Linked DNA regions of Drosophila melanogaster. The protein of the gene in region 1 interacts with the protein of each later gene in a pairwise test. Each region holds a gene or a part of one and is shown in the gene's direction. Other genes may lie near its edges.

The links. Proteins that work in one complex are often made in the same cells at the same time.
Region 2: the proteins of Ir54a (region 1) and Ggt-1 interact in a two-hybrid assay, tested with the Drosophila melanogaster proteins (one large-scale study listed by BioGRID).

What each region holds. Positions count from the first base shown.
Region 1 is NT_033778.4:17,742,519-17,746,549, forward strand, and holds Ir54a (ionotropic receptor 54a), read left to right. Parts: upstream 1-1,582; coding exon 1,583-3,343; 3' UTR 3,344-3,454; downstream 3,455-4,031. Other genes in the region: Vps50 (vacuolar protein sorting 50), read left to right, coding at 1-295, 354-466, 534-927; sub (subito), read right to left, coding at 3,455-3,601, 3,660-4,031.
Region 2 is NC_004354.4:18,506,501-18,514,236, reverse strand, and holds the start of Ggt-1 (gamma-glutamyl transpeptidase), read left to right. Parts: upstream 1-1,715; 5' UTR 1,716-2,188; coding exon 2,189-2,193; intron 2,194-5,555; coding exon 5,556-6,761; intron 6,762-7,580; coding exon 7,581-7,736. Other genes in the region: CG6470 (uncharacterized protein), read left to right, coding at 408-1,048.

The sequences.
Region 1 (4,031 bases):
CTTATACGGACTGTCACAACGCATCGTGGCCGTGGAAGCGGGTCGCAGCATGCTTCAGCAGTTCAACGTCCTTCAGCACTATCTGAACCACTTGCTGCCCCTTGCAGAGCGTCCAATCCTGGCCAGTTACCTGGACTATAGCGATTATATTGCGGACTTGGCTAAACTCGTTTACACATGCGTCACGTCGCGCGTCATCGATTTGTCATCCATTCTGGCTCAGATGGCCAAGGTCAAATGGGATGTTAATCATGTGATACACCAGCACAGCAACTACAGTGATGTTCTAAATAGGGTGGGAAATGCTAAATAATGCTTAATACACTACACAAACTAACCACATTTATATGCAGAACATACAAAGCTTCGCCATGTGTCTGGAGGAAATTGCCAAGGAGGTTCCAGTGCCCAGCAAGCAAGTGTGGAATTCAATGGCCCATGTGGCCACGCATCTGCTGGTGGAGGGGTACGTTCTTATTTTCTATTTCTCAGAAGGATCTGATTTTACATAGTTATTGTTTATTATGTTATAGGTTCTCCAATGTGAAGAAATGCTCTGCCGGAGGACGAGCGCTTATGCAACTGGATTTTGCGAACTTTATGTCGTTCCTAGAGCTCATATCGAACCAAAAGTACCCACAGCATCGCTCCTATGTGGATGTGTTCATCAAGACCTACTATTTTGCGCCCGAACAGTTCGAGCAATGGATTGAACAGCAGCGTACGGGCGATGAATACTCTCTCAAGCAATTGAACAACCTTATTCATTGTATTTGTGTCAGCGATAAACGCACGCGACAAAGGTTGCTACAGTTGCTTGACGCTGGAATACAAAATGGAATAGCAATGTCAACGACGCCGACAACAACACCGCAGAAGAACAACCACGGATCCGTAGCCGGCTCAAATTTAAGCAGCGTTATCTGAGCTCCCCCGAACGATTATTTAATTGTATTTATTTTGTTATAACCCCAAACTAACTTTGTTAGTAGATCAATCTCATGACATTCTTTACGTGTAATTAACATTCCGTTTAGTTCAAATTAACATTGTGTTTAAGGCTAATGATTCTACCTTAGTTATACAGGCGATCTCCATGAAGTACTTCGTTTCAAATTTAGAATCTCCCAAACCCTCCTTAAGTGCAATCTATCCTATAATCTTTCTAATTGATAATTGGCAATTGGTTTACCATTCACCATGACTTAAGTACCTAGAGAAAACAGACATATATATATATATATGTACACACAAAACACGTATAATTAAGATACCTATTTATTTGTAATATTTATTTGCAGCAGGAAACAGACAAATAATTGTAAAACAACTTAAATGTAAGGGGCAGCGTATCGATTTGATTTGCGCGCCTCCCACGATCACACACCATTAACTATTTAGCAACTGTAACAAAATAACAAAGAATACATATTTTGAGATATGCATATTACAAACAATGCGAATTGTGTCTTATCATCGAGGGCGTGAAAAGCTTGACAAGGCATTTCCCTTCAACTTGGAGCAGTTCCCGCACAATATAAATAAAGCAGCTAAGTCTGATGGGCAACATAATTGAAAGGACATGTGGACAGTGATAACAGGAATAGTTTTATGGGCACCCGTCCTGGTTGCGGGATCCGCTGTGGACTTCATCTTTAGAGCAGCAGCGGAGCACTCGCTCTCAGTAATAATGATTCGTATTGATTATTGTCCGTACAACTGGGCAAAGGATATCTTTGAGAATCAAACCATTCCAGTGGTTGTCCTTTCAGATAGCGAGACTTTTATAAACATTCGGATGTTTTCTCGGCCGCTACACGTAGCTTGCCTGCCTGGACATGAGCTGCAAAAGGACCTGGCGTTACTCGAAAACTTTACGAGTTCGCTAATGGATTTTCCGAGTCAGAAGAAGATTGTCTATATATCAAACAATTTCTCTGATCCAACTAGAATGGACTATATTTTCGAAACGTGCTATCATCGCCGAATTTGGAACATTGTTGGACTTTTAGCTTCAGATGAACATCGTTACTTTTATAGATATCACCTATATCCTAGCTTCCGAACGGAGTATCGCTCTCTTGAATCTTCAACCATATTCGACAAGGATTTTCCCAACATGCACGGTCACCCTCTTACTGTTATGCCCGACCAATGGCTTCCGCGTTCCGTTCTCTACGTGGACAGACGAACGGGTAAGCAAATCCTAGCCGGATCTGTGGGACGCTTCTTTCACGTGCTGTCGTGGAAGCTGAACGCCACGCTGCAGCTGTCCAAGAAGGTGACCACCGGGCGCTTTCTAAATGCCACTGCCCTCAAGGAGCTGAGCGAGAGCTTTTCAGTTGATGTTCCTGCCAGTCTGACGATAATGGAGCGAGTCGAGCAGTTGGCCAGCACAAGCTATCCGATGGAGGTGACCCACGTCTGCCTTATGGTACCGGTGGCCAGAAGAATTCCAATTAAGGATATTTACTTTATCCTGAGCAGTGCTTCCAATATGTTCCTGGCTATTGTTATTGTTTCCAGTTATGGATTGGCTTTGAATCTCCTTCGAAACATGACCCATCGCGATGTGCGTCTGGTGGACTTTGTGCTAAATGATAAAGCTTTACGCGGAATCTTGGGCCAATCCTTCAATTTGCCCTTGTCGAGAAGCTTCTCCACCAGGTTGATATTTCTGATGCTTGGAATAGTGGGTCTTAATGTGAGCAGCATTTTTGGAGCGGGACTGGACACATTAATGGCTCATCCACCACGGCAATTTCAAGCACGAAGTTTCGCTGGTCTGCGTCGCACGAAAATACCATTGGTTACGACCGAGGAAGACTTTCCCACATGGATGAAACTGCGTGTGCCCATGCTGGTGGTCAATGTGAGTGAGTACAATCACTTGAGGAATGGAAGGAACACAAGCAATGCCTACTTCGCCTCCCGACTGTATTGGAATTTGTTCAGTGAGCAGCAGAAGCGCTTCACCCGAGAGCTGTTTATCTACTCCACGGATGACTGCCTGTGGTCCCTGGCGCTGCTCTCTTTCCAATGGCCGCAGAATTCCTTGTTCACAGAGCCCGTCAGCCAACTTATTTTGGAGGTAAATGCCAATGGACTCTATGACTTCTGGGTGGGAATGCACTACTACGACATGACAGCAGCTGGATTGTCCGGTCTGGAGGATCCCAGCCTGCAGTTGAAGGAAAGAGAGCACCCTACCTCGCTAAGGATTGTGGATTTTCAGTGGATGTGGCAGGCGTACGGAACATTTATGGTAATTGCGATTCTGGTATTCTTGCTCGAAGTTTCTTGGCACAGAATCACATCATTATTTGTGTCACTAGTTTATTGATCATTCACATGTTTATTGGAAAACGTGGCCAACTCTGCAACATATCAAGTTTCAAATTTAAATTTTAAAATCACTAACACTTAACAAATTAAAAATTGTGAATTAAAGAAACTAATCATCATCGAGGATTTCGATGGGAGACTTAGATTCGTTTGGATCATCAGAAATGTCCGTGTCGCTTGCAGGATTCTTAAGTTCCTCTATCTCATCTTTGAGGTCTTCTATTTGTTCTTCATACCTTCGGCGTTGAGAGGAAAGCTGTTAAATATATAGTTTATATTATATACTATTATATTATATTGTTATATTTACTAACCATAAATTCTGATTCTCTTTGCGCAATTAGTAATTTTTTCTCGCATTCGTCTTCATATTGCTTCTTGTTGTTTTGGATAATCTCCTGGTAGGTGGCAGTCAGTTCCCTTCGCAGTTTCTCCTCAAGCAGCTGCATTTGCAGCACATGATCGTACTTCAGTTGCTCAATCTCTAACTGCAGGCGCACGTTTTCGTCCTCAAGTTCCTTGGTGTAGTCGCCGCCCTCGCACGTCGACATCTTTGAGAATTCCATGAAACCACAGTAGCTGACGCGATGCTGTTTAATTACGGGCTCCTTGAAGATGATGTTCTTGGCGATGGAAGCAAAGTTCAAGACGTTCAGGTTCTCCTCGTAGTATTTATCCAGAGGGGT
Region 2 (7,736 bases), on another chromosome or scaffold:
ACGTTATTGGTTATTAGAACTCTTTAAAATCTTGAAACAGCAGTATATATTTATCATCATTACATATATCATCTACTTAAGACCCTTCTTTCTATATGATCTTGGTGCTTAGTTAGGCAAGAGACACCAAATTTGGTGTACAGTACTTTATTGGTTTATTATACTCATATAAATCACGAAACATAAGTTTCAAGTGCAATTTATTTTAAAACAACGATTACAATTGTAGGTTATTAAATATAATCGATTTGGACACCTGTTATCTATATGATCTTGGGCCTTATTAAAGCTACTAACACCAAATTTGGTATATAGTACTTAACTGATTAATATAGTATATTAAAAGTGATATTAATTTAAGATCTCATATTGAGTTAACCAATTCTCCATTCTCCATTCTCCAACAGTATTGCTATCTCCTCGTCGCAATGGCCTCACGCCCCGGAACTACGAGGCCGAGGCCGAGGCAGCGGAAATGGAAGCCATTATGGCCGCACAGCAAGCCTCCAACGGAACGACGAAGCCCGATCATGATGAAGGAGATGGCGGGGAGTATCAGGGCGGACCGTTTGGCCGACTGCAGCTGAAGCCGCTGGGCAGCTATGCCACGGACCAGCAGCTGCCCAGCTACTCGTGCGGCGTGTGCGGTGCCAAGTTTCACATCCGATCGCTGCTGGGCGCCCACCGGCACACCCACGACGATGACTTCAAGGTGCGCTTCCGTGCACGGCGACCGCGGGAGAGCAGAACCACCCTGACCACCGTCCATTTGTGCAAGTACTGCGATCGCTCCTTCGACCTGGAACGCACGCTGCACATCCATCTGCTGAGCTACTGCAAGAAGATACCGCCGCAGCAGCGCCGCAAGCTGGCCTTCACGGAACTGGCGCACGAGAAGAAGGCGCCGTTGCCCAACTTTCAGCGGGCGCAGCAGCCGGTTCACCACCAGGGAAACAGTGCCACCAACCAGCAGGATCAGATGACCCAGCAGGAAAAACTTCAGAAGATTATCATGCGCGAGTCGGCAGTGCACGAGCGCTGGCGCTAGTCGTCCTCATTACCAATCTTCACCAGAAACTGGATGCAGAACCAACGCTTGCTTCCAAACACCAGAAGAATCCATTGAAACGAAAGGAAAATTGTCAAGTGCAGGGCGTATGCAGCTCAACTGTATTTGATTTGTTTACCAGGATCATCAAAATTTGTGGAATTGAAGGCAAAATTATTAGAAGTATGAATTGAGCACAATGACACGATTAGTGGGAGACTCACCTGTTCTGAAGACCGAAACACACACTGGCGTTGAATAGTCACATTCCACAAACGACGGTCAATTAAAACTAAATTAAGAGTCCCCAGCACGTTGATGCAAATGTATTGAATATAATTAAATATTTGAACTAAACAGAAGATTTACTTGCAATGAATTGTCATTTCTTAGATACTTGGCGGAAAGGTAAAAGAATCATAATCCATTGAGGCTTTAAAAGCATAATAAGATACTAAAATGGGTATATATATTTTTAAATTTATCGAAAAAATCGATGAGAAATCGCTTCCTCTCTAGTCCACTATCTAATATGTAAAGAAGAATGATATCGATGTATTACAGAAGCGCTTCGATACCCAGCTCGAGCAATCGATACGATAGCTGTGCATCGATACATTCGCTCAATGAAGCTGACTGCACGCACGTCCGTTGCGTCACCGGCGCTACCTTGCCTTACCGTTTACCGTTCACCGTTCACCGTTCCGTTCCGTGCCGAGCTTTGGCGGTCAAGCTCAAAGTTTCTGTGCGCTATCTCTTTCGCGCTTGCGGCGGCGGCGGTGGCGTTGGCGGTAGTGGGTCGTGTGCAGGGAATACAAGATAGGCGATGAGCGGCAACTCGGGCGGATCGAAGCCATCAGTCGATCGCAACAGGTGCTGGTGGTCACAGGCGGGAGCTGCCGGAATCGAACGGAATCTTGTTGGGACTGTCTGTCGTCGGTGGCCTTTGGAGAACATAGAAGAGCACATCTGTCCGCTGTTGTTCATATATAATTTTTTCCGTGCTTTTCGCGACTCTTTGTTTTTTCTGTGTGTTTCTGTGCCTCTGTGCGTTTCCGTGGCCAAGGCGACCAACTTATTCCGGCTCAGCTCCAATAGTCAACCAATATTATACGAAATTCGCCATAGCAAACGGGGACAATGAGGTAAGAGTGGACTAAAGCAACGGTAGATGCAATCGGTGTACAGTGGAGACTCTGTAACTCGAACCGCCAGGATATTTTGGACCATAACCGCCATAATATTGGCTTCGAGTTAAGAGAGTTATTGCAGTATACAACTAATTTAATAAGCCCATATTGATATTTAAAAGTGCGGTAGACCTTGAGACAGTGAAATCACAATTAACTTCGCTAACTGTGAAAATTCTAATGAATGTCTCACCTGTGCAAATTCGATGCGAAACCAAAACACGGTTTTCAAATTGGACACAAATCTTTAATTTGCAATGGCTTAAAATGCAGCCTAATAGAGAAATTATTACTCGTGGAGCTTTTTTTTTTGTTTTTTTTTATAATAACTTTTGGTTCCGCTAGTAAGCCCAGTTTCAAAGTTTTACACGTTTTTGCCACCACAAAATCGAACCGAACAGAACCGATTATTATTATTATTATTATTTGTGCACTTGTGTAAATACAAAACGTACAAAAAGCACAACAAATCATTTAGTCACTTTCAGTTATTAGATATTAGACATTTGGCGTTAAGCAAGTTGAAAGATCGAGATCGGTATCTCTGCTCGCCGCAATTAAGTTGCCCCATTATTTTAGCGGCAAGTCGCATAGCATTGCCAACACCCCAGATCGTGTCAGATAAGATATATCGGTAGATCTGCCCATTTGCACGACATCGTTAAGTAATGTGCACACATGTGCTCCCCCTCCCCCTCCCCCCCCATTCGATTGTCCAGCTGAAATGGATACATCCGATTTTCGGTCATCCAACTGGCGCGCTCTTTTTGTGACCGCCTCTGTTGGCCGAATCTCAGGACACCCGAAATGCGTCATATCCATGGCAATGCGTTTGTTCCAAGACAAGTTTATCAAAACTGTCGAATGTGGGCAATTAGCGGGTTTAGCGCTTGATTGCCCCACTTTACGACGCCCCATAAGATATAGTACCGTGTACATGGCTCAGATATGGCTCAGATACGGTCAGCTATAAGGGGCATGAAGTTTATGGCGCCCGCAGAGGAAACACGCGAATTTTTTGAGGACCGTTCATTCAGCGGGGATCATTGACAGCCGGTGCAATTTATGGATATATACAGCGATAAGATTGGGATATCACATGGCAGTGAATTTTTTGTTTTTTTTTTTTTTTGGGGCCTGCGACCCCCACGAAGGCAGTGCCATTGAAATCATTGAAATGCGACTATTATGGTCATAAAATTGATTAGCGAACGGCTATGGAAACTGGTTTCCAGTCGAGGAATCCCCCCGCCGGTATTTTGCATAATTCGTGAGAACCCGCAGCGCAATTATCGCTGGAAATGAGCACTGCACCATACGCTACTACACGTACTCCCCCACTTCATCCACCTGTATCGTCGTAGATCCCATCCGATCCGCACCTGCCGCCAATCGGCCAAGGATGACTTTCGTTCCTCTCGGCAACGTCACTGACTTATCTTCGAGCTCCGCTGCAGACACGATTCGATTTTGATGACGGGGCACATTTGGCGAGGGGAAAAAAAAGCACTGATAAATGGAAATGTGCTGACTGTTTTCTGATTGAAACCGTTTGTACAATGTCGCAGCTGCGATCTTTGGTAATTAAACGATGTCAACATTCCGGAGATCACTAGATATCTTCGCGGAGCAGGAGGCTTTCATCTTGGAAAAAAAAGATGCCATCCGTAACATATTAACTAAAATACATATGTGGTAAGGGTACTTTGCCATATAACAAACAGCAGCACTTGAGTTCCGTGAAAACAGTTTGATCACCTTTTATCAGTTGTTTAAAGATCTCTTCAGAATCAAGTGCATTCGCAAGTGTTTTGAGAATATTTCGGAATTTTTATTTCTCCATCGGTTCAAAGAACATTTCCATAAACTTTTACGGCCAACGGTTTCTCGACTTTGAAATTCCGAAAATGCCCACACTGATAAAGGCGGATAAAGGGGCTATAATCCCGGCCAGCCAGCCGACCAGTTGGCCAATGGCACAATTGCCGATCAATTGGAGGCAGCACAATGCTACCGATGGTAGTAAATCCATTAAAGGTGAAGTAACAAGGAGTGAGAGTGTAGTGCCTGAATGAACCGAATCTTATCGTCGAACGATAACCGCACATAATAATAATAATAATAATAATATGCAGATCCAGTTGGTTTACCATACCGAATGACGGGGCAGAAATGGAGCATTGGATTTGCAAAGCGATGGCCCTTGAGGATCTTAATCTGCAGACGGGACGCGATAATCGATCGTATCGATCGAAATATTTGGGATCGCGAATGTGGAGGACGCATTTTTCGGCGTTACGGCCACTAAATCGAAGTACTTGCGACTTTCCCCCCGTAGAAATCTACGTTAATTATAGAAAATTGCCTGTTAATAGCGCTTGAGTTTTACGATCTCTGTTTGGCATTTTTATGGCACGTTATCGAAGACTTGGGCACTCCACATCCATTGCCGATAAGTCGTCACCCTCGCCCCGGACAGATGGTGGAGGGTATGTCCGGACTCATCCGGTACGTGGACATGACTGCGCCTAAGCGCACCTACGAATATCCCTTTGTCATGGGACACTCCACACAGCGGGGCAATCACTCAACTGCGGCCGTAGATTGTGGATAGCCTTTATAGTGGGCAGCTACTGAATCTGCAGATAGCTGCTTTTCATTCACCTGCTTTCCAGATAGATCGATCGCAATGATTCGGCTAATTTGATTTAACTAGTGCCCTAGTGTCCATGTCCAGAGATTACAATCCAGGCTATCAAGTTGGCAAATAGACCGTTCTATTCTAATCTCACACTTTGTTTACTTCTGGCCATCGTGACCATTATAAATCTTATATAATAACACACATAATTCAAGTATAGCCATTACTTTAGACTCCTATTTAAATTTATGACTTACTCTTAAATATATAGATATTATGCTTTGAAAGTATAATAGTGTATATAAACCAGTTAAGCGCTTCTTTAGTTTTATCTTGTGTAGTAGTAGTATCGTTTCAGTAGAAGATTTGCATCTAGAATTTTCAACTTTAAGAATTACTAACATATTGCGATGAGCTTGTCTACCTTAAGCATGTTCGTAAATCGAAATGTAGGGTATCACCGTGTCGAGGCGGCCTGCCAGCGAGTGACTCGGCGAATTGGCTGTTTTCCGATAGCGGCGTCCAAAATCAAAGCTAATCGACACCGCCGATCCACCACTCCACTCGACCAGGTCCTCCAGCTCTTCAGTTTTGAGGGCCTGGGGCCACTGATGGCGATCGAGATCGCGATCGCATCCGTTGATTGTCTGACTCTAATGAGATTCTCAACTTGCAGGATTGTGTGGAGTAAGAAGCTCTTGCTATGGCTACTGCTGGCTGCCCTCATGGTGACGGCGTTGACTCTGGGCTTGGTCTTCGGTCTGAAGAATCGGGACACGCTGTACATCAGCGGAGCCGTGGTGTCCAATGGCATCGGATGTGCTGCGGTCGGCGGTGAAATGCTGACCGATGGCGGTTCCGCCGTGGATGCAGCCATTGCTACGCTGCTGTGCGAGGGCCTGCTATTGCCGCACTCAATGGGCATTGGCGGTGGCTTCGTGGCCACCATATATACGCGAAGTAGCCGCAAGGTGGAGACGGTGATTGCCAGGGAATCGGCACCGGCGGCCGCGCACAAGGACATGTTCGTGGGCGAGACGTCGATTACGGGCGCCAAATCGGGTGCGGTGCCCGGCGAGATTCTTGGCTACTGGGAGATGCATCGTCGCTATGGCATCCTGCCCTGGAAACGCCTCTTCGAGCCGTCCATTAAGCTGGCCCGCGAGGGTCATGTTGTTTCGCGCTATCTGGCCGCCGCCATCCAATCCAAGCTGGATAACATTAAGGCAGATCCCGGGCTCTCGGCCGTGTTCCTCAACGCAACCGGTGATCCCCACTTGGAGGGCGATTACATGAAGCGTCCCGCGCTGGCCGACACGCTGGAGCGGATTGCCGAGAATGGAGCCAAGGAGTTCTACGATGGCGGCGAGACGGGTCGCAAGTTCGTCGAGGATATCCAGAAGATGGGCGGCATCATTACGGAGCAGGACCTGCGCGATTACACGGTGCGCTGGGAGAGCGATGGACACGTGTCGGCCCATGTGAGTGGCACGTACACGCTCTATTCCACGCCCATGCCCAGCAGCGGACCCGTTCTGGCCTTCATCCTCAACCTGATGGCCGATCTCTATACGGACAATGAGCCGATCTATTGGCAGCGCGTGGTGGAGGCCTTTAAACACGCCTATGGCCAGCGCACCAATCTGGGTGATATGTATGCCGATCCCGTGAGCGCCGCGTCCATCAATGCCACCCTGGAGGAGATGCTCAAGCCGGAGTTCCTGGAGAGCGTAAGGAAGCTGATCCACGACAATAGCACTTCGGAGGACTACCTCTACTATGGCGCCAACTTCACCGTGGAGGAGGACCATGGCACCGCCCACATGAATGTCTTGGCCACCAATGGAGACGCCGTGTCCATCACCAGTACCATCAATAACTAGTAAGTGTTCATAGAATTTCATATTTAGTGTTTAGGGATTTACTAAGGATTACGAACTAAGGATGGGTATTCAGATAGATATTTGGGGATTTATGGAATTCGCAATACACTCAACTCCTAGACAATTTAACTCAGAAAACAATTATTTTGAAATTTATTTTAATTGCAAGCACACGAAAAGTGCTCGCACATTTTTTCCCAGTGTAGAGACACCATTCGGTTTGGCCGAACCTGTGCGCAACCATGTTGGAAGCTAGATGACACTTTTCACCATACCCAACATGTGCGAAGCAACAGCAAGAGTGGTGAGAGTTCTCTCCCACAAACAAAACAGTGCATGTGAGCGGTGCACACACATATATTAACATTCTCCTTTCCCACCATGCTTTTGAATCGAAGCTGCAGGTTCGATTGACAAACACACACATTTGAAAGACAGGGGAAACTCTTGGTTTTTTTTCACCTTGGTGGAGAAACCAATTTGTGTCGCTAGCTACGAAGTTGTTGATACTCAACGAGCTAGCCATCGTTCAGGGTTTTTAATTGACTTGCAAATGCTGCGGATAAAGTAAGCAGGTAAAGGTGTAAGGAGGTCCAAAAATTGTCTATACACATAAAGGCTTACAATGGGCTATCACCGAAAAATCTTTTGTATTTGTGTGTAAATAGTGGTTTAGAATAGCGGTTTTCCCATATACCAATATTATAAGGTCGGGTTTGAGTCTGGACTAAGGCCTAGGAAAGTGCAACTCAAGAGTTCGCGCTTTTTATTAACTTTCATTTGTATATTACCTATATTCACATATAAACCCTTTACAGTTTCGGCTCCAAGGTGGCTTCCACCCAGACGGGAATCATTCTGAACGACGAGATGGACGACTTCTCCACGCCGGGCGTGATCAATGGCTTCGGTGTGCCCGCCTCGCCGGCCAACTACATTTATCCCGGCAAGCGTCCCATGTCCTCGATGAGTCC